Diceros bicornis minor: one gene and its partners. The protein of the gene in region 1 purifies or fractionates together with the protein of each later gene. This does not show direct contact. Links are inferred from orthologs where the notes say so. Each region holds a gene or a part of one and is shown in the gene's direction. Other genes may lie near its edges.

The links.
Region 2: the proteins of PRKACB (region 1) and CDK5RAP2 purify together in Homo sapiens (affinity purification with mass spectrometry; 4 studies listed by BioGRID and IntAct, counting the BioPlex papers as one, with this or other methods). This does not show direct contact. The link is inferred for Diceros bicornis minor from reciprocal best matches to the Homo sapiens genes PRKACB and CDK5RAP2.
Region 3: the proteins of PRKACB (region 1) and PRKAR2B purify together in Homo sapiens (affinity purification with mass spectrometry; 7 studies listed by BioGRID and IntAct, counting the BioPlex papers as one, with this or other methods). This does not show direct contact. The link is inferred for Diceros bicornis minor from reciprocal best matches to the Homo sapiens genes PRKACB and PRKAR2B.
Region 4: the proteins of PRKACB (region 1) and AKAP11 purify together in Homo sapiens (affinity purification with mass spectrometry; 5 studies listed by BioGRID and IntAct, counting the BioPlex papers as one, with this or other methods). This does not show direct contact. The link is inferred for Diceros bicornis minor from reciprocal best matches to the Homo sapiens genes PRKACB and AKAP11.

What each region holds. Positions count from the first base shown.
Region 1 is NC_080743.1:20,724,699-20,731,819, forward strand, and holds the start of PRKACB (cAMP-dependent protein kinase catalytic subunit beta), read left to right. Parts: upstream 1-4,110; 5' UTR 4,111-4,136; coding exon 4,137-4,320; intron 4,321-7,121. UniProt on the Homo sapiens protein: Mediates cAMP-dependent signaling triggered by receptor binding to GPCRs.
Region 2 is NC_080767.1:27,771,798-27,779,487, reverse strand, and holds the start of CDK5RAP2 (CDK5 regulatory subunit-associated protein 2), read left to right. Parts: upstream 1-4,685; 5' UTR 4,686-4,833; coding exon 4,834-4,889; intron 4,890-7,690. UniProt on the Homo sapiens protein: Potential regulator of CDK5 activity via its interaction with CDK5R1. Negative regulator of centriole disengagement (licensing) which maintains centriole engagement and cohesion. Involved in regulation of mitotic spindle orientation.
Region 3 is NC_080742.1:11,401,260-11,408,644, reverse strand, and holds the start of PRKAR2B (cAMP-dependent protein kinase type II-beta regulatory subunit), read left to right. Parts: upstream 1-4,381; 5' UTR 4,382-4,556; coding exon 4,557-4,881; intron 4,882-7,385. UniProt on the Homo sapiens protein: Regulatory subunit of the cAMP-dependent protein kinases involved in cAMP signaling in cells. Type II regulatory chains mediate membrane association by binding to anchoring proteins, including the MAP2 kinase.
Region 4 is NC_080748.1:34,204,248-34,211,619, reverse strand, and holds the start of AKAP11 (A-kinase anchor protein 11), read left to right. Parts: upstream 1-4,354; 5' UTR 4,355-4,434; intron 4,435-4,931; exon of another isoform or gene 4,932-4,985; intron 4,986-5,271; exon of another isoform or gene 5,272-5,335; intron 5,336-7,372. UniProt on the Homo sapiens protein: Binds to type II regulatory subunits of protein kinase A and anchors/targets them.

The sequences.
Region 1 (7,121 bases):
AAAAATAATAAATACTTAGGTGTAAGTCTAACAAAATATGTGCAGGATCTGTATGCTGAAAACTGTAAAACACTGTTGAAAGAAATCAGAGACCCAAGTAAATGAAGAGACATACTATGATCGTGGATTGAAAGACTCAATGTAGTTAAGATGTCATTTTTCCCAATAATCTCAGTCAAGTTTCAACAAGATTATTTTTGTAGACACAGACAAACTTTTAAAATTAAATGGAAAAGTAGAGAAACTATAATAGCCAAAACAATTTAGAAAAAAAAATTAGGAAGATTTATGTTATCAGATTTAAGACTTACTAGAAAACTACAGTAGCCAACACAGTATAGTATTGATGAGAGAATTGGCACAGCAAACAGGTGGATTAGTGTAACAGAATAGAGAGTCCAGAATAGACCTACACAAATATGGTTAATTGATTTTTTGAAAAGGTGCAAAGGCAATTCAATTGTGAGTGAATATATAAATTGTGGTAGATCCATACAGTGGAATACTATTAAGCAATAAAAATGAGTGAACTGTTGAAACACACAGCATGGATGAACCCCAATTGCTACACTATACTAAATGAAAGAAGCCAGTCTTAAAAGGTTGAATCCGTTTATAAAAGGTATGAATCCATTTATAACATTTTGGGAAAGGCAGAATTATTACCCTAAAACCTTTATTTGAATAGTAGGGGTCATGGTCATATCATTTACCCTCCACATGAAGCAAATGCATCATTTACGTATCGAATATACATCCATGTTTTTCTTTTATTTAACCTTCAAACTCTAAAGTACATAGTTCTACTTGACCCTAACATGATTGTAAACTTAAATGTGGACAGTGAAATTGCGTGGCTATAAAGTGACCATCTGAACGAAACCATTCTCGTAGCAGATTCTCAGACTCTCGACAGTGTATCCAAGAACCAATCCCACCTCCAACTTTCCTTGTATCCCCACCTCCCCACCCTTGTTTGGAAAATACTGCATTTGAAAAAATCTTTACTTCTTGTGGTAAATCATTGTGCAGTACAAAGGAGCCCTGATCCAGAAGCTGGAAGACCTAGGTGACTTTGGACAAGTCATTTAATGTTTATGAGTTTGTTTTCTCATCTTAAAGTAGGGGATAATAATACCTGTCCTGTTTGCTTCGTTTGTAAAGATCTGATGAGCCAATGGAAATCATTTTATGTCTTGTAAAGTGCTTGGTAAATGTAAGGTATCATTACTGTTATTAAATATAAGAAATAAACCACAATTTTGTGGTATCTTATGGCAATCAAAGGAGGTTCAACTCAGAAAATTGTTATAATTTCTAAAATTAATGCAGAATGAATAGTAAGGACTTGATAACCTCAAAGTTGATTACTTTCTAGTTTTATCATACATTAAACTATTAATAGTGTATAAGATATGCTATTATAGCAAATTTTGGGTACATGGCTAGACGTCTTAATGTAAATTCAAGTTCTGAAAATACCATCAGGAAGAATAACAAGCAGTATACTTCTTAAGATGAATTTGAATTGTGAAGGAATTCGTAGTTTTAGTTGAAGCTGTAGTTGTTTCTTTCTAGCAGTAGATGCCAGTAGAGTTCTTTTTAATAAAAATCAAATCGCCTAAGTAATTCCATAGCAACAGCTTCCTGGTCACATTACCATGTATAGAAACATTGCTCTGAGGAAAGTAGAAAGATTCTCCTTCTTATAAGGACTTTGTAACAAATTTTTTATTGAAAAAAGTACAGATTTCAAATGTGATGTTTTCTAGATACTCATCTAGTGAAGCTTACTTTTTTTCTCTCTCTCTCTCTTTTTTTGCTTTAGTAATTTTGTTGTAAGGCTTATGCATTATTTTAAATAAATTAATCTTAGTGTTTTAGTTAGGAATCTGGAATATCTGTACTAAACTCAAGCAACATTGAATACAAGTTGGCTAGACATGTGTTAAAAATGAAAATGGTGGGGCTGAAATGTTAGGATTAGTTGGTGCATTTGGCAAGGGAATACCATGAGTATAATATTCAGGGAGATTAATATATCAGAGATGAGTGATTGAAAGGAGTGACTAGAAGCAGGGAAAACAAGTTATTTTAGAAATCTACATTTGCATTAATAAAAATGAAACTCAAAGATGAATAAAATCTAGTAACTGAATATAGAGAAAAAGGAGTTCAATGACATTACTTCTATTACTGTTGTCTCTATATATGAACAACTTGGTGCTTGTTGGATAATTTACAATTATGGTCCTATCATAAAATTAAAACATTTTCAAGTGTTTGATGATTCTACTTAGACCTTTGTTAAAAATGAATGCTTTCTTCAACATATATTTATTGAGTATGTAATACACACATTGCATTTGTAAATGCAAGTAACTCACAATTTGAGACATAAATTTACAAACAGCAAATTTTAATATAAAATTATAACTGTGACTACAAATGAAAACAGGAGAGAACAGTTTATTTTTCTAGGAAGTATGTGGGAAACTTGAGTGAAGAGGTGACATTTGCAGTGAACCTTGAGGATGAATAGAATTTCTCCCAAGAGAGCAAGTCAAAGAATTTAGGAATTTTATCCACTTTTGCCCATACAGAGTCAGTCCATGCTCTGTAAATGTTTATTAAAGACTGCACACACTTGTCTGTTTTGTATAAAGCACTGTCAGATGTTAATAAACAAATTACCTATTATTATATACACATTTATACAGAAAACTACAAATTTAAGAAGTTTAGTCTTATAGATACTATTGCCTATTTGTTTAGATTGATATTAATTTTATTACACAAAAGAAAGTGTATACAAATGAGCTGTTACTTGGCAAAATTCATTAGTGTTTCCTTTGTGTGTGTGTGTATGTGTGTGTTGTCCTAATTTGATTACATTATCATTCCTCTTGATTCTATTTGTCCTTCTTGTTCCTATTTCTTGTATTTGTCAAGCATTTGGCAGGAAATTTAGACTGAGATATTTTTTTGATAGATTTTTAAAAAAAAATCCTTCCTTCCTTCCTCCCTCCCTCCCTCCCTCCCTCCCTTCCTTTTATTCTTTTATTTAGAACTTCCAAAGAGAAAACCACATATTTTTGGGACATGCCCTTTAAAAGATTATCCTTTAATTAGTGTCAAAAGGCAAGTAGTCAATCATTGTTAAATGTCATGAGTTACTTTTTTCCTCCAAAAGGACAATGGCAAATTTTACTTACTTTTAATCAAAGGAGCTGTTTTTGAGACCCCTAAATCAAGGATCAGGTAAGAAGTAGTCCTGAATGTTAAGTTTGAAAAATTAACATGTCTCAGTCAACTAGAAGGATTTTTTTTCCTCTCAATTGAAATTTCTTGCCGTAGCTGATTTTATATAATTTTAAATCTTACTTTTTATTCTTTTTTTCAAATTTTAGAATGTTTTAAAAGGTACTGCTGATAGGCACTTGTCAGCAGATTATAAATTTGATAAGCAATACTGACATGCTAAATTTTTGAAGTTTCTGTATATATTAGACTGAAGTCAGTGAGTTAGCAACATTCAGTTCTTTTTTTTAAGATAGGGTAGTTCAGATTTTTTTCTTAGTTAAAACATATATGTTATGAATTTGTTTTGCAAGAGTTTCGTAATATCTATTCCATACCAGTTTTTGATGAAATGTTGCCTTCTTATAAGGATTCATAAAAACTATATATTAGCTAATTTCCTGGAAAAAACACCACCTTTTTAACATATTATATTTGGAGAGTGGTTTGGCCTTCAGTTGTTTGCATAGGATTGTAATACGTTTAACTAGTTTTCCTTTTTTTTAATTTTCAGCCTACTATATATATAAAGCTTTATATTTAAGTCCCTCATTAACCTGTATATTAATATTAAAACACTCTTAAACATAGAGCCTTTTAGGCTGATACTGCAAGTCTTTAAAATCCCATCTCTAGTTGAGATGAAGAGTTTTGCTAAGACAGGCTTAGCAATGTGCTGTTTTATATTAACAGGAAGCAGAACAGCAGTAGTGGTTTGAATACTCTGCAAACAGGAAGTTTGACACATGCATAGCTCTTAGCTTCTGTGTAAGAAGTTGTTGCGCTCCTTCTGGAAATATTTTCAGTTACTTTAAATAAAGTGTAAATGCACATGAATGGCAACTTACAGAGAACTACCCTGTAACCAGTATACAGGTACAACTGCTCTTCAGAAATTGGAAGGTTTTGCTAACCGATTATTTCATAGACACTCTAAAAGTTTTGTACATGATCAGAAAACAGCTCTGGAAAATGACAGCTTTCATTTCTCTGAACATACTGCCTTATGGGACAGATCAAGTAAGTTGTTCTTTTTTTTTTTTAAATGATATGTTATAACTAGAAGCTCAAATGCTAATTGGAGTTTTAGAATCAAACATAAAGAACTGTGTTTTGTTTGTCTTTTTATGATTTGCACAAGGACATTTTGCAAGATGAAGTTGAGAAAATTCTGCAAAAACTTGGTTATAAGTTGAGCTGAATCATGTAGTTCATTGTTTTGTTTTATATATGACTAAGTTGAATATCAGTAGGAAAATTTTCTACAAAATTCTTACATCATTTCTAGTGTGTTACTGTTTTTTGTTTTTATATAAAACAGCCTAAATTTTAGAAACAATGATCAGTTTACTTTTTAAAATGTCTTGGATTTATAAGCCTTAAAATTCAAAAGGGGCGAGAAGACTCTTGAATTTATAATTAAATTTTTGTTTGCCATCTTTTATTTTTAAATTTATGTTTGAAAGTTACTTTAGTTTTACAAGCAGAATTTTCTAATATAAAAGCATAGTATGATTATTCTATGGGAAATCTTATATTTGTAACATTATAAATAACAAAAGCTTTTATAATTATATTTTATATTATTTATAATTATGGTTAAAGGGGGAAAAAGTTGTTTATGCATGCATCACATTCTTTTCAGGCATGTTAAGATGTTTGGACTTACTGCTTTGCTAAAATGGTGATATGTAATTATTTTTGGTGACATGCCCTTTAAAAGATAAATTTCACGTATAAACAATACCAGTACCTCCATTCCACATCTCACCTTGGATCCTCCCCAAGATATTTTTGTCACTCTGATGAAAGCAATAATAGAGTTACCCTTGGTACTCTTGCCCTTTATGGTGTGTTTGATTATCAAATTGCACTAGGTTTTCCCTCTTTCCATTTATATATTCCATAGCAGTTAAGGAAGAAAACTCAGGTTAAAAAAAACAAAACCAAACAAGAATGGTTTACAAAATTTACTCCTTGTTTTATGCAGCACCTTCATAGTTCTATAGAAGCTTATTTGAATTATTTCTTTTCTGCATCAGAATTTTTTTACCTTCTTCAAGCTATTTTAGGAAGAAAGGAAAGAATGTGTACTTCTACAAATTTTTTTTTTACTCTAAAGGTTTTGATTATTTATAATTAATCCTTAACTATGTAGCAAGTTAATGGATGAGGAATCTCAAATATCTTCAACTTAATGAACTGTTGAATATTGAAGTAATAGTACATTATTAAAATTTACCTTGCAACAAAAGTTTGTTATTCATTCTACTTGCCCTATTCTGTTAAATTGCAGTCTCTTAAGGCCTTTCGGAAATCGTTTTTATGCATTTCGAAGATCTTTTAATTAAAAGTTTAGTGAGGAATGAAGACAATACTGAATTAGTTTCTGTTTTATTAATACCTGTTCCTCCACATAGTGGGTGTTTAGTAAATATATCTCAAATGAATGAATATCATGGGCTTTTAATAATTAAAAGTTATGTTTGAACTGTACGCCCACCATTTTTAAAATATATGGGGCCTGTGATGTTTTCTGAAACACTTTAAAATCTAGCAACGGAAGATAATATCATGAGCCATGATTTCTTTGGGGAAAAACGGACTGATAAAATGCTGTTAACATTTTTCTTTATTGTGATATCAGAAAATAAAATAAGTAGGATCATTGTACACAAGTAAAATTAGGTGCAACCCTTGTAGCCATTGCATAATAGGCATGACATATAAGAAATTCTTAAAGAGTAACTGAATGTTCGTTAATCAGGTATTCTTCCACTGTCTTCTCTCTTTCGTATCCCCAAAATATCAAAATATGCACAATAATTTTATATATGTAATAATACATATGGTAAGCTTGGAGCTCTAGTTTCCTATTACGGAATGTGTTGATATACAGGAGAAAACGCTGATACAACAGAAAGAGAGGAACACTGTTGTTTCAAAATTCCAAGGTTTATTTTTATGGTTAAAACACAAATTTTTATTCATTTATAAATTGAGTTATGGAAAGAGTTTTGATATGTTTTCATACAACCTACATTCTTCAAAGCTACTTAAAGCGGTTTACTTCCATGACTTGTTTAGCAAGAAAAAGGAATGTAATATCTCCTAATAATAAACGCTCTAAATATGCTTGTGCCAAAAGTGCTATTTTAAGAAATCAACTAAGCACAGAAACCACATGTAATTTTTTAAAAATTAGATTCATGAACTGTGAGTAAAGATTAATTACCAATTTAGGCATGTATGAAATGTAACAAGTTTTAATCCAACTTTATTTCTTTTCCAGTGACATTAAATATAGGAATACAGAAAAAAGGCCAGTTAGTGGTTCCCAGGGCTTTAAATGTGTTTCATCTTTTAGTACTAAATTAAGTAACAGGAATTCCTGTTTGATAACATAAATATTTAACAGCTGATTCCATACACGTTTAAGTACATGAAGTTAAAAAAAAACGTGGAGGAATTCTTTTTGTTCTGACTTGGAATAAATGTGAATATTGAAGTTCGTTGAGTTCTCTTTCTGACAAATTTATTATGGTTAGCTTTTAAATCTTTCTTTGATCATAAATGGTGTGTTGAGTTATACAATGCTGAACTGGGTTGAAGTTTTACATGTTTTAAATCTTGGACTTTATACACTTAACGAATGTCCAATTATAACATTTTAAGGACTGAATAGGTGAATACTACCACTTTACCTATCCTGCTTTCCCGTGAATTGACAGGCTATTTCTTTGGCAGATACAAATTCATATTAGTGAATAGTAGATTTAAATACTATGTTGAAGAAATGAGCGATTTTGTATACGGATTTC
Region 2 (7,690 bases), on another chromosome or scaffold:
TAACTGGGAATTGGACAAGGGCTGCTGATAGCGAAGGCTGGCTGGGAAGAGTTCTTGAGAGAAAGGGGCAGGGTAGCACAAGGGATGTGCTAGAAATACTGCTGACCTTGGGATCAGACAGACTCGGGTTTGAATCTTGGCACATCTATGTATTAGATGGGCAGCTTGGCCAAATCTAGGATAATGTGTGTAACAAAGTAAATAATGATAGTGATAGGTTATAACTCATAAAATAAAGCAAATATCCACAAATCCATGCTGATTTAAATAAACAATGGAAGAAATGGGCAAGAAGAGAAAGTTCTTCCTTATAGTAGAATTCCAGTTAATAAATATAGATGAAATGATGAAAATAGGAAATCACCAATTGGCAAATACCACAGTAATAATTGTTTTGCGTAAGAATTATTAATGGGTGCTAAAATCAGTGGGCGAAAATTTGATGACAAAAAGGATATTTACATAGTCTTAAGTATCGCTGCCCAAGACTCTTTTTAATCATAAAAAAGCAGTAATTTTGGGGGGCAGGCCCTGTGGCTTAGCGGTTAAGTGCATGCGCTCTGCTGCTGGCGGCCCAGGGTTTGGATCCCGGGCGCGCACCGATGCAATGCTTGTCAGGCAATGCTGTGGCGGCGTCCCATATAAGGTGGAGGAAGATAGGCACAGATGTTAGCCCAGGGCCAGTCTTCCTCAGCAAAAAGAGGAGGATTGGCATGGATGTTAGCTCAGGGCTGATCTTTCTCACAAAAAAAAAAAAAAAAAGTAATTTTACCATGGAGAATCTTGGCAGACTCCACCTTAGCCAAGAGATCAGAGTTAACATCACTAATTAATGAGACATATTAACATCATCTTCCTCCTGATACCCTGAGAAGGGCACAACATCAGTTTTGTGGTATTCTTGCTCAAGTGCATAACCTCAATTTAATCATGAGCAAACAGCACATGAACCCAAATTGAGGAACAGTCTATCAAATAACTGGCAAGAACTTTTAGAAAGTGTTAATGTCATGAAAGACATAGACAAAGGAGCTGTCGCAGATTGAAGGGGAGTAAGAAGACATAACAACTAAATGCAACGTGGAATCTCAGATTGGATCCTGGGCTGAAAAAAGGGCATTAATGGGAAAAATGATTAGGTTTCAAGAAGGTCTGTAGTAAGTACTATTGTAATATAATTTCTTATTTTTGACAATTGTGCTATGGTTATGTAAGATGTTACTATTTTAGCAAGCTGGGTGAAGGCTATATGGGGAATTCTTTGCATTATTTTTGCAATTTTTTTCTGTCTGAATTATTTCTAAATGAAAAGTGAGGAAAGAAAGGAAGACAGTGTGGCCTTTGGCAAATCTCTTCCCCTCTCTGAACCTTAGTTTCTTCATCTGTAGAGCAGGGCAATCATCCTAATCTACTTCAGAGTGTAGTGAGGATAAAATGAAATAGTGCAAAGTAGCAATGTATCTGTATTGATCCTGTAAGTTATTCTTGCTGTTAATAATGGCAGCTCATGTGTCTTGAGCTGCTAAAACTTCAGGAGGGTTCTACCCTCATGAGAAACATCTGGCTGCAAGCTACTTCCTCCCAGCCATTTGAGATGACCTTACCCAAGGAATAATAATGCCAGCTTTGTGACTGGGTGGCTGTTGTCAAGGAGATGGTGCCAGATAGCCCAAACAGCTGGTAGTAGTGACGTCACTTCCAGGCTTGGCAGAAAGAAAGGCCATGGCGAGACAGAGACGGGGCAAAGGCCTTCATCCTTGACCATGAAAACAGGAAAAACAACTTCCCAAATAGCCTATCCTTTGTGCAACTGATTCTATTTTAAGTTTCTAGGTTCATTAAAGGGTTAGCACACAATTCTGGAACGTGGTCATTTGCTGAATCAGGCAATGGATTAATCATAAGCAGAACTCCTCCAAGGCTCTTTCTTCTTTACAGTTTCCAAAGTATCTAATTAGATAATGCAACTGTGTGAGCTCAGCATTGTCTGTCCCATTTCACACATGGGAAAACCAAGGAGGAGCGAGGGGAAGGGACCTCAGGTCACAGGATAAGATGGAAGATTTTCCAGAGTCAGAATCCAGGTGCCCAGACTTCCCATCCTGCAGTCCTACTCTCCACACTAACATTCACCTCATGGCCACCTTGAAGCAGTTGTCCAAGGAGTAGAGTCTGGTGAACACATCCCTGAAATACTGTTGTCTGGATGTAGACCTCACCTCTTGACCCTGAATTCTAAAGTGGAGGAAACCAAACAGATAGAGAAGACAGGCTGCCTAAAACAATTAGAGTGTTTGAGTTCGGTGGGACCTAGGCTCAAATCCCAGCTCTGCCACTTACCAACAGTGAAACCTTGAGCATGTTATTTTCACCTCTTTCAGCCTCAGTCTTCTCATCTGTAAGTAAAATGGGGAGAACAGTAGCACCTACTCCCGAGGGTTGTTGTTAGGGTTAAATGTGGTGGTGTATGTGATATGCCTGGCACAAGTGGCACATAAGAGATGCCCAAAATGTGTAAGTCCTCCTCCTTATTTCCTTTCTGAAGAGCTTTCACGTGCTGGATGAAAAGTTAGTTCCTTCATTTGGGAAGTAACGATTTGTAACTCAGTCTCCCTCACCAGAAAATGGTTGGTCGTGCATTAATAACCTTGAAATAAACACAAAGAAATCACCTCCAGAGCTGTGAGGTCCTGAGACATCCAACCAGCCCAACCCTCTTATTTCATAGGTGTAGAAACTGAGGCTCAGAGAAGAGGAGTGGTGTGCCAAAGATTGCAGAGTCAGTGGCAGAACCAGGGCTGGAATCCTGACACCCCAGCTTCCCTGCTTTTGGACACACCCATCTCATTGGTTGAACTTAGCACTGGCAAGGACTGTTGGTTCCCGGGCTTCGAGGACTGCCCTTCCCTGGGGCAGGGCATCTGGTGTGCCAACTGTTTCCTGCCCACTCTCTCTTTCAGGCTGTTATTTTATTGCTGATTCTGGAGGTGACTGAATATCCGGGGAAGGAAGAGGAACGGGCACAGGATCAAGAGCCTTGTAGCCTTCACCAAAGCTGAGAGAGAGAGAGAGAATGAAGCAGAGAGAGAGAGAACAGGATATATGGGATGACTATTGACTGAGCTACTAAAGATATCACATTGTCACAGAAACCTTGCAGGATAGGTATTATTTTTCATTTTCCAGATTGACTGAATCATTCATTCAACATATATATATATATATATTTTTTTTTTTGAGGAAGATTGGCCCTGTGCTAACATCTGTTGCCAATCTTTCTCTTTTTCTGTTTTTCTCCCCAAAGCCCCAGTACATAGTTGTATATCATAGTTGTAGAGTTGTAGCTCTTCTGCATGGGACATTGCCTAAGCATGGCTTGATGAGCAGTGCGTAGGTCTGTGCCTGGGATCCAGACCAGCAAACCTCCAGGCACCGAAGCGGAGCGCCTGACCTTAACCACTACACCACGAGGCTGGCCCCTCAACGTATATTTTTAAACACTGATTGGGTGGCAGGCACAGTGCTAGGTGTTAGGAATATAGCAGTAAACAATTCAGAACACAGTCTCTGCCCTCATGGAGCTTCCAGTCTAGTGCAAGAGGAGACATTAAAAAAAACACAAAAATATATAATTGCAAAATGTGGTAAGTGCCACAAAGGAAAAATACAGGTTGCTAAGAATACAAGAAAGGGTCTGATTTAGATTAGAAGATTAGAGAAGGCTTCTTTTGGAAAGTAACACTTAAATTGAAGAATGAGGAAACTGAGGATGAGGGAGGTGTTGTACGTGGTTACAAGGAAAGTCATCATCTACCCAATCACCCATTTTTTCAAGTTATTTTCATCCAGAACTCTCCGGACAGCCTGCAGAGGAAGGTAGTAACACTGAGATGGGGAGATGAAGGTTCATTTCATTGGCCAAGCTGCCAAAATTATCTAGGTGTTGGTGATTGCTTTGTGCTTTAAGAAAGGCAGTCAGGGTTATGCAGAGAGCCCTGATGTGGTTGGCAGGAGCCGGGGATCTGGCTCCAGTCCACAGACTTACTGTGCATGACTTTGGGAGAGTCATTTCCTCTCTCTGGGCCTCAGTTTACTGATCTCAGGTGCGTCTGAGCTTTAAAGGTAATAAAGGATCACTAGGTGAGAGATTGGAGAGGGAGTGTCGGTGACCACTTGGCTCATAGGGATGAATTTATTCGTTTCAAGCTAAGTGTGCAAATTACTGCTTGAGCTGGGATTCTGCAGGTAAGATTTTTCTAAAGCGAGGCAGCACCCGATTATCTGAGGTTCAACTCAAAGTGGAAGCCTTTTGAATGCACAGACCCTAAGGTTTGGGTCATTATTCTAGGAAAGCATACACCAGGATAAGAACTCTGAAGGTCCATGAGGGCCTGGATTCCCATCTCCCGCTTAAATTAACGGACCAAGGCCTGCCTTGGCCCTCAACAAAGATGGCGTCTGCCCTGGCCCCGGCCTCAGTGCCCTCACAAAAAATGGCAGCCGGGCTCTCTTTCCTTAGTGTTGCGGGCCCCAGGTCGGATGCTCTGCCCTTAGTTAAGATGGCGCCCGCCCGCGCTTCCCTGCCCGGCTTCTGGCCTCGGCCGGCCGGCTTCACCGCGCGCGCCGCGGTGACCCCGCCCCGTTTCCGTAGGAAGAAGCGCCGGGAAAGATGGCGGCGGCTGCGGTTTGAATTCCAGCGGTGCCGCCACAGTCCGAACAAGAGCTGGGTTGGAGGGGGCGGGACCTGGGGAGCCAGGCGGGTCGCTACATCGTGGGGGAACTAGTGCTGCCGCCGCCATAGACACCAACGCCACCACCTCCTCCGTGTCCAGGATGGACTCAGTGTTGGAAGAGGACGTCACCCTCCCCGGAACGCTCAGCGGCTGCAGGTGCGGCCCGGGCTTTGGGGGTTCGCGGTAACCGGGCCCGGGTTCCCGCTGATCGAGGGGTTCGCTCCAACGGAGACTTGGGGTCTGCTCTCGAAGGTGTTTGAGGGTTTCCGGACAGGGACAGTGTGTGGGGTGGGTTTCTGGGGGCGAGGCGTCTCTTTCGGGACCCACCAGCTGATACTGAGTGTAGGGGGCTGAGGGTCCGGACCTGCACCACACCCACCTTTCTCGTATTTCGGGACATACTTTGAAGAGGGTGTGAGGGACAGGTAAGGGGTTGTCTGAACGAGCGGGAGGAGGGGGGCCTTTTGCAGTGTGCCATCGGTGGGATCTGGTTGAGGGGCGGGGACCTGGAGGGTACTTGATGGTTTATTCTGGTTTGGGGGTTTGCATTCATTATGGGGAGTGTAGTTGGTCTGTCTAGACTTTGCTTATGGGGTCACATAGTGGCCACCAAAACTCAGGCAGTGGAGTGCAGTGGTTAAGAACCTTGGCTGGAGTTGAACAGAATTGGATTTAAATCCAGCCCTTGAAACTAACTAGCTCTGTGACCTTAAAGTCTCTTACCCTGCTTTCCCATCTGTAAAATGGAGCTAGTAGTAGTATCCACCCAACAGAGGTGGGATGAGGATTAGAAGAGAAGATGCCTGCCCAGCAATTCACTTGGCAAGTGTAATGCCTGGCACGTAGTCAGTGCTTAAAAAAATGATTCTGTGTTGCCATCATCATCATCAATAGTAATACAAATTGGGGAATAATGGCTGAGAGTGGCCTCCCAATGGACCTGTCCCAAGAGGCATTTGGAGTCCACATTGCTGGTGGGGCAGGGGTCTCTTCTGGTAGGAAGGCCTGACAGAGCCCTGCACTGCCCCAGGGCTGGGGCCCTTTGTTGTCCTGGCTCCCGGTTGAGTGCTCAGAAGGACATGGAGGAAAGCCTTAACTGAGAATCTGCAGTGTTTATCCAGCTGTGCTAGAGACGGGCTGCTTCTTTCAGTCAACAGACGCTAATTAAAAGGATGACCATGTATTTGTTGTGCAAACCGATACACTTGTAAGAGTGAAATGAGCACAATTAATATTCATGCCTGGATGGCAGGCGTAAACAAGTCCTATCTGGACAAGTGGTTAGTCTGTTTATTGTGTATCTACTGTGTATCAGGCACAGAGCAAGGCCCTTTGCAGCTCCTGCCTAAATTGGACCTGTGTTAGTTCATCATGTCTCTTTCTCTTCATCTCACTACGATGCCCCGATATATTGGGGTATGACCTCTCACCTTGATTGTCCTGGCTTCCCTCACACCCCTAATAGTCTTTTATACTATAGCTTGAAAACTCTTTTTAAAATGTAAATCTGGTTGTCACAGTCTGCTGCTTTATATGTGTAATGCTGCTCTTTGCCATTAAGATAAAAGTCCACTGTCGTTCTCTCAGGCAGCTTTTCTCATCTTGGTGCCGGTTGGCCAAGCACTGGGGCTTTGGGACCCAGACCTAGCTGGGTTTCAATCCCGATTCTGCCATTTAACACTGTGGCCTTGGGCAAGTCACTCACCCTCTGTGAGCCTCAAAATCATCTGTAAAATGAGTGAGTCTAAAAGAGTTTAGCCCGGTGTCTGGCCCAGAGTAGCAACTCCACAGATCATCACATATTCTGCCTACCCTCCTCTCTCTGCCTTTGCAGGACCCAGGTGCTGCATACATTCCTGGTAACTAATCTTTTACTCACCTCCTTCAGACCCTCCCTGGCCACTCGCCACCCTCAGGGTGAAGTTCTTTAATACGGCTTCCAAGGTCCTTCATACTCTGGCCCCATCTACTTCACTAGCCTCCTCTGCCCTTCCTTGTCTCCTCCCCAAGCCCTTCACTCTGCTTGGCTGCCAGACTCTTTGTAATGAACGATCTTGCCTTATTCTTTCATATTGTGGGGCCCTGGCACTCATGTTTCTGCTGCCTGGATTGCCCTCCCTTCTCCCTTTGCCTTATTAATGCCTGTTATTTTTCAGGTCTCAATTTAGGTGGCACTGCCTGGAAGCCTTCGCTGACATTCCCTCACCCCACCTGGGCCGTCTGTAGTCTTCTAGTCATCCCATTTATCACTGACCCTGTCTCAGCCCTGGATTTTATTGACACTAGCACTGTCCAGTAGATATATAACTTGAACCACATATGTAATTTAAAAATTTCTAGTAGCCACATTAAAAAGTAAAAACAGGTGAAATTAATTTTAATATATTTTATTTAACCAAATATTTCCATAGATTATCATTCTAACTTGTAAAAAACAACAGAAATTATTAATGAGATATTTACATTCTCCTTAATCTTACGAAGTCTTTGGGGTCTGGTGTGTATTTTATACCTACAGCACTTCTCAGTTTGGATTAACCACATTTCAGGTGCTCAGTGGGTACGTGGGCTGGTGGCTCCTGGATTGGACAATGCATCGTTAACTTGTCTGTGTCCCACTTTAGACGACGACCCATTTGAGAGCAGGGGCTGCATTTTGATCTTCTTTGGTACCCTAGTTCCTAACCTGGTATCTGGCTTACAATAGGGCTCAGTAACTATTTGTTAAATCACCGAATAAACAACGATCCTTTGAGGTGACAATATTATCCCCTTTCTACAGGTGAGGACACACTGAGGCTCATAGAGGTGAAGTGAACAGTCTGGGATCTCATGAAAATTATTTGATCGAGCCAGGATTTAAATCCAGGCCTACTGATTACAGAGCCTGGCTCTCAGTACCTTGGCCTGCTTTCCGACTAGTTTTCTGAGCCAATCTGAGAGGATTCTGGGAGGAT
Region 3 (7,385 bases), on another chromosome or scaffold:
TCCCTGACCCCTCACCCAAGCTGAGCTTCCAGCATTCTCTAGCTTGCTAGTTCCACAATTCTAGTGGACAACTCTCATCTGCTCTTGTTTCTTCTCCTGTTCTTCCTTTTTTTAACTAACAAATTAAAAAAATTTTTACTTGTGGTAAAATACACATAAAGTTTACCATCTTAACCATTTAAAATCTATAGTTCAGTAGTGTCAAGTATATTCACACTGTTGTGCAACCAACCCCAGAATTTTTTCATCTTGCCAAACTGAAACTCTTTACCCATTAAACGGCAACTCCTCATTTCCCTCTTCCCTCAGCTGCTGGCAACCACCATTCTACTTTCTGTTTCTATGGATTTTGACTACCCCAGACATCTCATATAAGTGGAATCAGACAGGCTTATTTCGCTTATTTCACTTAGCATAATGTCCTCAAGGTTCATCCATGTTGTACCATGTGTCAGAATTTCCTTCCTTTTTAAGGCTGAATCATTTAAAATTTTTTATTTTTTTTTTATGTTTTTTTATTTTGGTTCTTTTGTTCTTTTGTCCTTATAAGTTTATCGTTTTGTTTTATTTTCCCCATTCCTTTAGCCATTATTTTAGTACAGTTTCCGGAAGTGGAGATAAATTTTTGAGTCCAACCTAGTCCTTAATAGGAAAATCATATTCTATTTATGAAATCTAAGGACATATTCTCTGTTGCTTTCGACAATCTCTTTAACTTTGCAAGACCCCTTAAGGAGAAGAGAATAATAAAGTTGCATTTAATCCTCATTTAGCCAAAGAAAAATTTATGCTTTGCTTTGATGTTAAGCAAAAAAGTTACTTTAAGCAGTTGTCTTTTTACTATGAGTAGAAACTCTTTCCTGGGAAAGTTAGTGTAGTGGATCTCAAGGTTTGGTCCCCAGACCTGCAGCAACAGCATCACCTGGGAGTTTGACAGAAATGCAAATACTCAGGCCCCACCTCATACCTACTAACTCTGAAAATCTGGGGGTGGGGCCAGCAACTGTGTTTTCACAGGCGCTGCAAGTGCTTCTGATGCTTGCTAAAGTTTGAGAACCACTGGTCTTCTAGAGGCAACGCTTCGCAAAACCGCATCTAGAGATTAAACATTTTGTTTAGTTTTACTCCAAATGTTTACAAGATTTTCAGGCTCTGAGGTGACCATCTTTCAGCAGACAAGTTGTGAGGCACCCCTACCACCTATAGTGCCCATCTGCGGGACTTTTCTCTCTGCTGGAGAGGAAGGCCTTGTCCTGTATTTATACTACCTGACCACTTCCTTACCCTGCACCCCACTGGCCACACTGACTGAACCAGGAGAGGAGCCCTCACTCAAGGCCAGCCAGTCCACTGGATGGTCAGGACCAACTAGCTGGATCCTCTCTCGAGAATATGAGCTAGAGACACGAGACCGTAGTCAGTGCTGAACTGCTAAAGGTATAGAAAACTGAGTGATGGCCACAGTGGCCCTGTGCAGGCACAGCCCCTGTGTCCTTTCAAAAAAAAGTAGCCCCTGCCTACTTTTTTTTCCCTTGAGTGGGTATACATTTTTTGCGCCAAAGAGACTTGATCAGGATACATCTTAACTATTGATAAGAAATGCCGTATGATTGATTGGTCGTAGTTAGTATCATCCATTGTAAAGCTTGCCCAAACTATTGGCTTCTCCACGCTCTTGTCCTCTTTTGGAACTGCATATAAACAAATTGATGTCTCTGTCCAATATGTGTTTAATTCCCCATATGTGAAAACACATTTGGTAGCGCTCTTATTGCATTCCAATGCTGAACTCTTGGAGTTCTTTTGCAATTGCTTCTGATTCTCTGAGAAACTAGTGCAAATTGCTTTGTAAATCAACAACCAAAGAATCAATATCCGTGATGTTCTTTTAAAGAATTTGAAGATAAATAGTCCCCATAAGCCACTGTCATTGTACTCCAAGGTTCAAAAGGAAATATTCTGAAAATGAAAGCAAAGGAAATCATACAATATTACCAAAATGGTTATGTGGTAGTGAATAAAAGCCAGAATATGATTTGAGGAGTGAACGTTTGTTCTGAGAACAATATTAACATAACAGGAATATCAGGATCAAGCTTTACTTTTTCAGGTCACGGTTATTGATTTAAGAATTTATGCAAACAAAAATCGTTATCAGAGAGTTGTTTGCAAAAATGTTTTAAATCCAACATGTCTTCTTTTAATATTATACTATTGTAGAATATCCCAGGATGGGAGAGACCATAAAGGTCATCTAATCCAGTTATGCATTTCCTGCTTGACTCACTTCTATACCCCTAAAGAAATGACAGCCACACGACCCTGGCATTGTGGTTGATGACAGAGCCATTTACCATGCCTCATATAGTAAATCTACAAAAAGGAATCAATGCATTTTGAAAACACAAAATATAGGATGCTACTTTGAAATATGGCTTTTGTAAGTGTTTGGAAAAGTAGTGCTTTTTTCTTCTGTTATTCATGGGGGAAAGGGTGTTAAGCATTGTGGCAGACACTATTTATTGTCCCCAGAATTGGTTGTCCGTAATCTACAAATGTCTGGTTGGCACATGACTGCTCAAAATAAAGCTTACATTCCCAAGCTTTCCTTACAGCCATGCGTCTCGGTTACTATTGCTGTGTAACAAATTACCACCAAGCTTAGAGGCTTAAAACAACCTTTGTATTATGCTCACAGATTCTGTGGGTCAGGATTTGGAACAGGGCATCACGGGGCTGGCTGCTTCTGTCATGCGATAGTGACTTCTATCAAAGCAGTCACAAGCCCATCCAGATTCAAGAGGAGGGGAATTAAGACTCCAGCTCTTGATGGAGGAGTGGAAGGTCACACGCAGAAGAGCACATGGGACAGGAGATATTTTTGCAGCCACCTTTGGAAAATGCAATCTGCCACACTATAGGTGTGGCCATCCTAAGTTCTGGCCAAGAGGACATAAGAGGAATTAGTGTGTTTAACTTTCTGGAAGTGTCCTTAGGGGGCGGATGTGTGTTTTGGGGAGGTGGGGAGAGGTTCCCTTCTCTTTTCCACTTTCCTCTTGGCTGAAATATGGATGAGACGACAGGAGGTGGGGCAGCAATTTTGGACCACAAACTGAGGATTCCGGAGCTATGAGCTGGAAAGAGCCTGGGAGCCTGATGACCATGGGAGCACCCGACCAGCCCTGCCCTGTTTACATTTACATTACAGAGAAATAAGCTGCTCTCTTGTTTAAGCTACTGTATTTTGCATTTTCTGCCACATGCAAGCAATGGTAATCTTAATAAAGACATCATCATTAATGAAGACAGATCAATGCTAATCTTAATAAAAACATCATCATAAATGTAGACAGATGATGCAAATTCATCTTAAATTACTGGAGCTATAAAGACAATAATGCCTATATGGTTTATATAATGCTTATACGATTGGAGTTTGACTAATATTGTGGGCCATGCAGTGAGGATCACAGTACTTTATAAAAGTTTACATCTTAAAATGCTTGACACTTACAATTAGAAGTACTTTACTATATTTAAAGACAACATATTATTATGAGGTTGATAAGAAACGAAAATAAAGAAAACATTCACTCATGGAATGAATACAAATTGGATTACAAACAAAGGGTTTATATCAAGATGTATTTTTATTGGTAAGTGCCGCACAACAAATGGTGCATTTGTTTCAATAAACAGTAGTAAACGCACAAAGTGGACAATGAAATAGTATCAGTAAGGCAAAACATCATAGACTGGATGGAGAAAGGCTGGAGAAAACGTGGCGAAAGAAAAAGAAAGGTGTCACAAAGATGGAGCATTATGTCCAAAAGAGAATCAGTGCCATCATATGACTTTAAACAAAAGACATTACCAACACTTATCAATAGATTCTCGGAGGAAAATAAAATGCCGCTACCGAGGTGGGGGCTGAAGTTTCAGGGCAAATCGCGCGGCACCAGCTCGGCGTGGGTTTCCTGTGGTTAATGACAGGTGGGAATTCGGCAGAGCGGCCAGCCCGCTCCGGGGAGTGCGGACAGGTGGACGGCGAAACGCGCCTGGAAGAGGGCACCCGGGTAGTGTGGAGCGGCCCCCCACGCCCCCGCTGCGCGCCGGAGCAGCATTCCCCGCAAGCCCGCCGGCGCCCTCCACCGTCTTCAGGCCGGCAGCTGCCCGAGCGGCGGGTGCGCGGCGCCCGCCGGCGGTGGTTGCCATGGTTTCCGGGAGTCACGTGGGCGCGCGGCGGCGGGGCGGGGGCGGGGGCGGGGCGGGGCGGCCGGGCGGGGGAGAGGAGCGGCCGCGGCGGGCGCGGGAGGAGCCGGAGATGCTGCCAGCCCTCCCGGGGCCGCGCTCGCTCAGCCACCGCCGCCGCTCGGAGCAGCCGCGCGCCAGGAGCTGCGGGCCGGGCCAGCCGGGCCGCCGGGGCCCAGTGCGCCGCGCTCGCAGCCGGTAGCGCCGCCAGCGCCGTCCGCGCTCGCCCGGGGGCCGCGGGGCCCGAGGCCGGTCCGCGGAGGGGGCGAGGGCGGCGCCCGGGTGCCCGCTGCCCCGGAGGCAGGATGAGCATCGAGATCCCGGCGGGACTGACGGAGCTGCTGCAGGGCTTCACGGTGGAGGTGCTGAGGCACCAGCCGGCGGACCTGCTGGAGTTCGCGCTGCAGCACTTCACGCGCCTGCAGCAGGAGAACGAGCGCAAAGGCGCCGCGCGCTGCGGCCAGGAGGGCAGGACCTGGGGGGACGCGGGCGCCGCCGCCGCCGCCGCCGCCGCCGCCGGGGGCGGCACCCCCAGCAGGGGGGTCAACTTTGCCGATGAGCCGGTGCACGCCGACTCGGAGAACGGGGAGGAGGAGGAGGCCGCGGACGCAGACGCAGGGGCGTTCACCGGTGAGGACCCGACCCCCGCACGCCCCGGCTCCCCAGTGCAGTTCCCCCTTTTTTGCCCTTTAATCCTGCAGCTTTGCTCACCCACCCTTGCCCGCCTTCTCCACCTTCCCTACCTTCCTATCTCGCCTACCCCCTCAGCATCCATTTCTGTCTCTCCCACTCGCCCACCTTCCTACTCTGCTCTCATGCCCTCTCCTCCTCGTCCCCTCCCCTGGAGGTGGGGAGCTGAAAGGTTGGGTTCTCGTCCTGGACTCAGAGGCAGAGGACGACCGGTTTGAGTGGGCATCTGAAAGACAACTTCCACTGTGGTTGGAAATATTTCGTTTGACGGGTACCATTGTGCATAAAAAACTGGCCCATTTGGCGTCCTCTTTCAGCCCTTATGTTTATTAATAGAGCGTCCAAAGAGAAGAGGTGAGGGGTGTTCAATTGGATTGGCTTTACTGTTATTAGGATGGCCAATTCACTAAAAGGAGCATGAAATTGGACTCACTGGGGCAGAACAAAATTTATGGTAATAGCTTTCATATTTTTGGAAACAGACAAATCTGTTAATTTCCCATTTATCAATACCGCATTTTGTTGTTTTTGGACACACAACAAAGGATCCTGTTTAGCCTGCGACCCATGGGGTCTTTGGAGTGAGGAAACGGGCTAATGGTTTGCTTTTTATTTAAAACAAATATTGAATGATATGGAGCCTTTTTTAAAAAAATAAAAAGTGTGTGAAAAACACTGTAGGAAGTTCTGAAAGCTTGTTGGTTGTCTTTAGAATGAAAAACCAGTGAGTAATTGTAAGGACTGTGCCAGACACTGAAGCTGGAAAGAATGAATGGAAAAGAAAAAGGAATTTTCTCAAATAGCTGCTCCTGGCAAGTCCCACCCCTTCTGCTTACAACCCTTTTTCCCTAACACACAGACGGACACGCACATTTACAGCTTCCTGTGTTTACACGACATGCCCAGATCCCATCTTTATGGCATCCCAAGGCTAAAATACCATGGTGTGCAAATGTGCAAGTGTTTTTTTCTCTTTGTGGTGGAAAGCAAACGTGCGTTGAGCGTTGCACCAGCCTTTATTTATTTACACTGCTTGTGGTTTGTGTGTCCGCAGAGCATTTCATATAAGGAAAACATTTTCAAGTGTCATTTCCTTGTGCATGTTGCTAGGAAGGTGTTTCTTTTCTTTGCAAAATTATTGAAATGTGTTATAAAATCAGTGTATTTTTAGCTTGTCCAAAATAATCACAAAAGCCCTGGAAATTAGTGCTCTATGAAGATAAAAGGGAAGATGGTTACTTTAAAAATTTTAATTTTGGTCTTGTTAATGTTTCCAGGGATAGGATGATCATAGTCTTAATTGTTCTTTTTGCGCAAGAATTTAATCAAATGCCTTTCTTATTAGAAGCAAGAAAAAGATAAAATAATACATATTTTAAGTAGATGAGAAAGAGAAGCCAATGATGGGTGACACAGAAAGGGCAGAGGCATCTAATACTTCTTTTATGCTCCTGAGACAGGCATGTACACACGCATACATACACATGCACACACACAAAGGGAAAAAGGACTTGTTTCCCATATGGGAGGAAACTAGGAATTTAGGGACTTGGTAAAGAACCTATATATGTTCGATACAATATATTGTCAGTATAACTAAAATATTTTGTTTGTATAATGCTTTTGAAGTACTTTGCATTGGTGATTCCCTTTTCTCCTTACAACAATGTGTATTGTACACAGAACAGATTTTATTTCCATTTTGCAATGAAGAAATAAGCCATTAACTTCTAAACAGCAGGGATCATTTTAAATGGTTTTATATTCTCCAAGGCACCTTTACTCTAAAAATTTCTCAGTGTGAGTTTTAAGAAATGCTTATTAACCAATTGCACTATTTATTCCCCAGCCCTAGCCCCAAGGACTTTAAAACTTTTTTGACTGCAACCAAATACAGTGTGACCATTATCCAATACACACATCTGTGTATAGGTATAACAGAAACTTTGGCAGTGGTGCTTCCTTCTACTTGGTGCAGTAGAAAACATCTACTAGAATATTATCTATTCCAATCAATTCTCTCGCTCGCTCTCGCGCTGGCGCTCCCTCTCGCTCTTGCTCTTGCTCTTTTTTTTTTTTCTGAGGAAGATTAGCCCTGAGCTAATATCCATTGCCACTCCTCCTCTTTTTGCTGAGGAAGATTAGCCCTGAGCTAACATCTGTGCCCATCTTCCTCTGTTTTGTATGGGGATGCCTTCCTCTTTTGATGAGCGGTGCGTAGGTCCATGCCCAGGATGCAAACCTGCAAACCCCTGGCTGCTGAAGCAGAGCGCACGAACTTAACCACTACACCACCAGGCCGGCCCCCAATTGTCTTGTTTTTTTTAAGCAAATTGTGTTGAGACCTGCAGTTTAAAAACAATTATAGATTACCAAGGGGTTGGCAAACTTTTATGTGAAGGGCCAGACAGTAAGTATTTTAGGCTTTGTGAGCACGATATGGT
Region 4 (7,372 bases), on another chromosome or scaffold:
CATTAAATAGCAAAATTACATTGGAGGAGACAGCATCAAGGTGATTGCTAAAAATTAGCCCACTAACATGTTCCCTGGGGACATGTGAGGCGTTCCTAGGCATAATCTTAGGTGCACTTACACACAGCCTGTGTTCTCTGACTTGTCACACTGCTGCCTTAGCTCCTTAGTACACCACTGGCCTTCCCCTCTCCACACCTCCCTTCTGTAGTGTCCCCTGCCCCGACTTGTGTCCCCTGCTCCCCCATCCCAAGCATGGGATAGGCCTTTCCATTAATCCCCTTACCACAGCATAGACTGGGCTTATAACATTGCAGACTTTACTGAAGACTCCTAGTGTTAAAAAAAAATCATTAAAGAAAACAATTTAAGTGATACAAATAAACTTGAACACTTCATGAAGCGGACAGTCTCCATTCAGAGAACTACAAAATGGGGCATAAGGCAGGAAGCTTTTATAGGATAAAGAATAAAAAGCAAGGAAGAGAAAAATAAAATATCTGATTGCCTGGGGCCACAGAGTTAACCTTGTTTCCGGTCAGAAGGAACAAGGAAATGAGTATAGAGCCCAGAGTTGGCTTGGCCTGTGGGGATTGGCTGACTGGGTATGCCGTGTTTCTGATGCAGTGAAGCATTTGCAGGGACTTGGGAAGTTAAGTTGTGGTTTGCTGACATCACACCTGGGCAGGAGCGCCTCCATCCTCCTTTCCTCTTTCCCTCTCTTCTTTCCCTTTTCTTTCTTCTTTTTTTCTTTCTCTCTCTCTTTCCCCTTCCTTCCTACCTTCCTTCCTTCTTTCTTTCTTTCTGCCTGTCTCTTTCTCTTTCTTTCTCCCTCTCCCTTCCTCCCTTTCTTCTTTCCTTTCTTTCTGTAGTTATTGACTAACTAATAACACCTACCATATGCCAGGCATGTGTAAGTAAAAACAGATGTGGTTCCTGCTCATGAATCCTACAGTCTAGTAGAGGAGAGAGACATTAACCAAATAATCATTCAAATGAAAATCATTATAAATTCATCAAAGCATTGAAGAAAATTACAGTCCTGGGTAAGGAGGAGCTTACTTAGTCTGGGGAGTTAGGACAAGAGTTCTTGAGGAAATGAGAGTAGAGCTGAATGCTGAAGGATTCACGGAAATTCAGAGGCTAAGGGGGATGGACAGAGAAAGAACATTTGATACTGAAGGAAGCAGGACAGGTCTGGCCCTATTTTGAGGAACTGAAAGTAGGACTTCTGAGAGGGAGAATGATAGGAGAGCAGAGGAGAAAGTTAGGTAGATCATGGGGAGATAAGAAACCACTGAAGGGTTTTAAGCAGGGGACTGACATGGTCAGATGTGAATTGCCAGAATACAAATGCCAGCCTTCTGGGGCTAGAGTGCACATACTTCAAACAGCAGGCAAAAAAGACAAAGCTAGGAGCAAAGTAACTGTGCTAGGAAAAGAAATATGGACTTTGTAAACTGGATAAATTTTATTTTTTAAAGTATTAAAAAGGAATAAGCAACATCCACACAAAACTGGTATACAAATTTTCAAGCAGCATTATTCACAGTAGCCAAAAAGTAAAAACAACCCAAATGTCTATTAACTGATAAACTGATAAATAAAATGTGCTGTATCCATACAATGGAATCATTATTCAGCGATAAAAAGAAATGAAGTACTGATTCATGCTACAACATGCATGACCTTTGAAAACATTATGCTAAGTGAATGAAGTGAGGTATAACCAACCACATATTATATAATTCCATTTACATGAAATTTCCAGAACAGGCAAATTTATAGAGACATAAAGCAGATTAGTGGTTGCTTAGGGTTGAGGATGAGGTGGGGGATTGACTCCTAATGGGTATGGGGTTTGAGGGAGCAAAACTGTTCTCAAATTAGATTTTGGTGATGATTGCACAACTATGGGGATATACCAAAAAACACTGCATTGTACACTTTAAATGAGTGAATTGTATGGTATGTGGATTGTATCTCAATAAAGCAGTTAAAAAAAGAAAATAATTTAAAAAAGAATCCAGGAACTAGGGACATCTATAGAAAGGAATCTCAATCCTAAATTTCTTCTTGCTTTATATTCGTTGTAGTCCAAATAATTGTAGCTAGCAAAAGAGACCACAAGGACTGTCCTGCTAGGGTGAACTGGGAGGATCTCGGGCTCTATTCATACATGTTAGGACGGTAGAGTTGAGTCCATTGTTCATCTAAATTAGCAGTACCAAGCAGCTGTTTCAGTTAATCATTATAAGAACGGCAAAAAACACTCAAAAGAGTATTCAGTTCTTTCAACATTTTAAAAGAATGGTCTTAATTTGTTAAAACAATACCTTTTCTCTTTTTAGCATTTTTCCTTTTAAAAAGTAACCCTATAATGTTTCTTGAAATCTTATTTTCATTAAAATTAAGGTGTTAGCTTAACGTGAAGATAATGCCTCAGCTCTATTTTCTATTTCTTAAATCTTGATTAGGAACATGTGAAACATTACTTATTCAATACTACCTAGGTTCAAAATAGCTACCGAGAAAGGGAACAGGAGGTTGAGCAGGTGGCAATGCTTCCATTTTCACACTCTGAGAAGGCCAAGATTTCTTAGGGAAGCATTCCTGGTATCTGTATTAATCAGTTTCATAGTTCCTCAGCCGGTGTGTGTGTGCGCGCGTGCGCGTGCGCGAGTGTCCAATTTCATTTAGCTTGTGCTGCTGACTCTTATCAGGTTTTTATAAAGATTCTTTTCATTTCCCTTTCCAGCTTCCGTCTTACTGGTGTGTGCATGCCAAACTTAACCACTCTGCGTGTAGGCTAGTTAGATTGCCTTGTTTTGTGTATGAGGAAGCTGAAACTCAAGGATGATAAGGTACCTTGATTTGGCTGCGTCACCAATGAGAGGTCTTCCAGTTGGAACTTGAGTCTCCTGATTTCTGTTTTTTTTAGTGGACATCTTCATTTTCCAGCCTTCAACCTCTATCTTTTCAAATCTTATCCTTAGGAATAAATTTCTGCATTGAACATCACTTTATGTTGCTTTTTCCTAGAACTGACTTTTAGACAGAAGAGGTGGTTATCTGTGTGGTGTAACTGGAGGGAAAAAAAATCAAAAGACACATTCCTTTTGGGCCATTTGTTTTCCCAAGTAACAAAAAAATTCCCGTTTATTTCTCCTATTGTAATTAAATAGCAGTAACTGAAGACGTATCTAGATGCTCTTAACAAAGGCACAAAACAGCACCAGAGCTCTGACCTAATGGATTTTAGAAGAGGAATGTCCAAGTCGTTGGAAATTAAATCTTTCAGGATTGTCTTTCTCACGGACTACAAGTCTCCTGATATCCCAGCTTCCTCTGTGGCCTTCTTAAGATATTCTTTTCCGGGAAGAGCTTTAAAAAATAAAAAAAAAGTGAATCATAGGTGTCTCTCTCCTATTTAAAACTCTCCAACGCTTTCCATTGCACTTAGAATTCTAATTCTCAATTTCTTTCCTGGCTTACAAAGCCCTACAGGATCTGGCCCATGTTTGTTTACTTCTCCAAGCTTATTTCCTCTTACTTTCTTGTATTTTCCCCCTCAAACCCCATTTAGGGCCTTTGAATTAGCTGTTTCCTTTGCCTGGAATGCTCTTTCCTCTGATATTTGCATGACCGTTATACAAATCACTGCTTAAATATCTCCTCCTCGAAAGGGCCGCCCCTCAAGTAGCCACCCAATCACAATCACCATCACATCATTTATTGTATTTTCTTTGCATACAGCTTAACAATAACAGGTTTTTTCTTTCTTCTCTCTCCCCCTCCCCCATAAGCCCTCTAGAACCTACACTTGTCTTCATCGCTGCTCAATGGACAGCCTCGAGTAGCGCCTAACAAATACAGGAGCTTAATAAAAATTTGTTGAGTGAAGAAATGAACATACGAATGCTCCCTGTTTTTCCTGCCCCTCTCTCCCAAACAGGACAAAACTCATAATGAGGATACACTGAAAAATGTCTTTCTCATCTATCAGGTATTAACACCCTTGAGAAATAGATGTCCTTGAGGAGACTGTGCAACTTGACGGGACTAGCCCTTCCTATTCTAAGTGGAGAAAATCGTATGTTAGCTTTTCATCTAGGGCTGGGTTTCTCCGTGACCCATGCTTTACTTCCGATTCTGATACCGCGTAGAGACGCAACGGTGAGCACTAGGGCCCGGAGATCCCTCGATGCTTTGTTGAGGTTCGGATAGGGCCGCTGGCCTGGTGCGCTGTGAGTGGTCCTCCCTAGAGATGTTGGGGAGAAGGGGCGGAGCCACCCCGAAAGCATGAGCCTTACTTGGGCCGTCAGATCTGCGGGGCTGCCGCTTTGGGGCCCCGGGAATCAGAAGAGAGCAAAGCTCGCCTGTGGCGAAGAAGGAGCCCCGCTGACCCCAGGCGGTAAGACCAAGGGGTCGAAGGTAAGGAGGCAGGGCCTGAAACCAAACCCGCAGAGCAAGCCACGGCTTAGGTATTTTGCCAGGGGAAAGGGTTAAACGGTTTCCAAGGTAACGGACCAGGAAGCGCGCAAGACGTCCGCCGCAAGTTCGTAGGTCAGACTCGAGTTTAAAGCTCCCACGGCTGAGCGGATTCCGGCCAATGGAGAGGCTGCCTCGATATCACGTGACGCACGGGGCCGAGCGGCTAGCTGCCTCGGAGCACGTGGGAACGTTTTTCCTGTTCCTTCTTTGCTTTTTAAAAAGCCCACCCACTTTTGCGCGGGCTTGGTAACGGAGGTCTTCTCGCGAGAGGCGCGCTCCCCTCTCGCGAGAGTGAGTGGGAGGCGTGGGGACTAGGTGGTGTAGCGGGCTGGAGCTGCGGCGGCGGAAGGAGGGGGTGGGCAGGGCGGGGGCGGGGAGGGGGAGGGCTGGGGGCCGGTGCTGGAGGGGGCGTCTGCTTGCTCGGCAGCTCTCGCGACTGGTCGTTGCGGGCCGGTTACGTGCCTGTGAGTTGCGGAGGCTACGGCCCCCAGGTGAGCCGGGCGCGGATCGGCCCGCGGCGTCAGCAGCGCGTTGGCTGGGGTGGCGGCAGGGTGTGGGGCGGCGATTGATGGGGCGGCCCAGCTCGGGCGCCCCAGCCCCTGCGCCTGCCCGCAGTCCCTGCTCTGACTTCGGGGCTGTTCAAAGCTGCGCCTTCGCTCGGCGGTGGGAGGAGGAGCGGGGCGGAGGGAGGAAGCCCAAGGCACTGGGCCGGGGGGAGGGGAGTGTCCTCGGGCCCGAGTGGGGTCTTTCTGGAGTCCGAAGTGTGGCGTTGGGGCTGCAGCCCTTGAATGACAAGCTCAGTTTCTGACCCCAGAGTGGGCTTCAGAGCCGGGTCCTCTCGGTGAGTGGTGGTGTGTGTGCTTAGCTTGTGTTGGTGCTGCGCGCACAGGAGCATATGCAGGAGGAGGAGGGCGTTGCACTTTGTCCCCTAACAGCATCCTTCACTGTCAGAACCCCTGAGCCCTGGAACCGGGCGCACCCCAAATCTTGTGACAGAAACGGAAGACGTCAAGCCCGTCGGAGTATTGATATTGGGATTTGCTGTCAGATTTCCCCCAAGGCTGTTAATGGCTTAAATACAGGCCATGCATATTCCAAGTGCATTGGGTATACCACTTCGATTATTCCGGGCACCTAAGCTGCTTTATAAAAAAAAAAAAAATGTAGATACGACCAAAGTATTTAAAACGTTGGCCAATGACAATGGTAGTAGCATCTAAACCACCACAGTGGGTGTGACTTGGTGACAGTTCTTTACTTCTGCTTTTCGTCTCTAAAACCTTATTAAACTGGAAGTGGTTTAGCTTAAGATGTTAAAGAAATTTCAACGTGAGAAATACTGCTGAGACGTATCTAATGGTCTTAGTGCAAACCACCGTTAAAAATTCCGCTTCTCTTTTCAGCTTTGTAATTATGCAGTCCCTTGCAAAACATGTAAGCTTTCCTTAGCTTCTTCCCACCTTGTTAGGGGTGTTATATTGATTGATACTGTTTTTGATATGTCTGGAAATATCCAGAAAATTCAGAGTACTCGGAAAATATAGGGTACTCAGTCATGCAAAGATGATTTTAATGTCTTGTTTATAATTTTAGGGTAAATGGCAGCTCAATTCTCAGCAGGATTAGTGTCAGTTAAAATAGTGCAATTTAATGAATCTTTTAAAATACCTGGTCAAATAGTATTTGTACAAGTAGTACTATTCAAGTAGTACTGGTTATACTTTTTTATGTTCCTTCTGGCAGAACTGACCCAAGGGTTGAAGATGAATTTCACTGTTAATTGTAGCTGTGAGTAACAGAGCAGTTTATGAGAGATCAGAGAATGTAAGGCAATCAGAACAAATGGGTTCCCAAGCTGACTGGTAACTAGTGATTAGTGTATGTACCCACGTAAGTGAACTATTGTTATGGGACTTGCCCAAGACCCTGAACCACAATGAGGAGTTCCCTAGCTTCCCAGCTGCTGGAGTGAGTCTAGAAGCTGAAGTCCTCCTTTGCTTTTAGAGGCTGGAAGAAGGATAGTACATTTAATGTTGCTGGTTTTTTTTTTTGTTTTTTTAATTTCAGGAACTTACTGTCTGGAAAAGGAAATCAAATCAGATGATACATTATAGGTCATTTTTAGGGAAATTTCCAGTTATAAATAGGCAGAGGAGTTCTGTCTATACTTGGAGAAAATGTGAAAAACTTAAGAAATGTCTTTTTGAGAATGGGCAAAAGGGACCAGTCTAGATTTAAAAAGTTTTGTTCCATTCCATCTTGGCAAACTGATTTTCAGATATAGAAAAATAGCATTTTTTGCTGGTCCTTACGACCTTTTGGCAAGGGTTTCAGGCTTTTAGGATGTAGATATTTGTTTTGTCTTGCTTTTGAAAAGAAATTGAAGTAACTTTGGGTAGGATAATTATTTAGGTAAAATGAATTTATTCTTTTTCTGTGAAGTGGCCTCCATTTTAGTAATAAAATCACCCGCTTGGAGGGAATGAGGGGTGGGGCAGGTCAGGAAAAGATTAAGCTTAGCCTAGGCTTTAGTTAAGGGTGTATAAACTGGTAAAGTAGGGAAAGGAAAGAAAAATACTTTATCTGTTTAAAAACAGACCAAACAGATTCAAATGTCTTCATTCTGCTACTCATCTTTATATATAAAAGTTCATTTTATTTTTCAGTACTTAAGACATTTCAAATGTATAGATTAGAGACTGGACAGGATAAAAGGAGAAAACATTTTTGGATTAATCTGAGAATGTTTCATGGGAAAGAATAAGATAAATGGCATGGTGGCCTGGAACACATTGGGTGTTAACTTGGGTGAAAATGAGGTATAGTGAAAATAGTGAAAAGAGTTCGGGTTTTGGAGTCAGGCAGCTCTGTTAGTTAA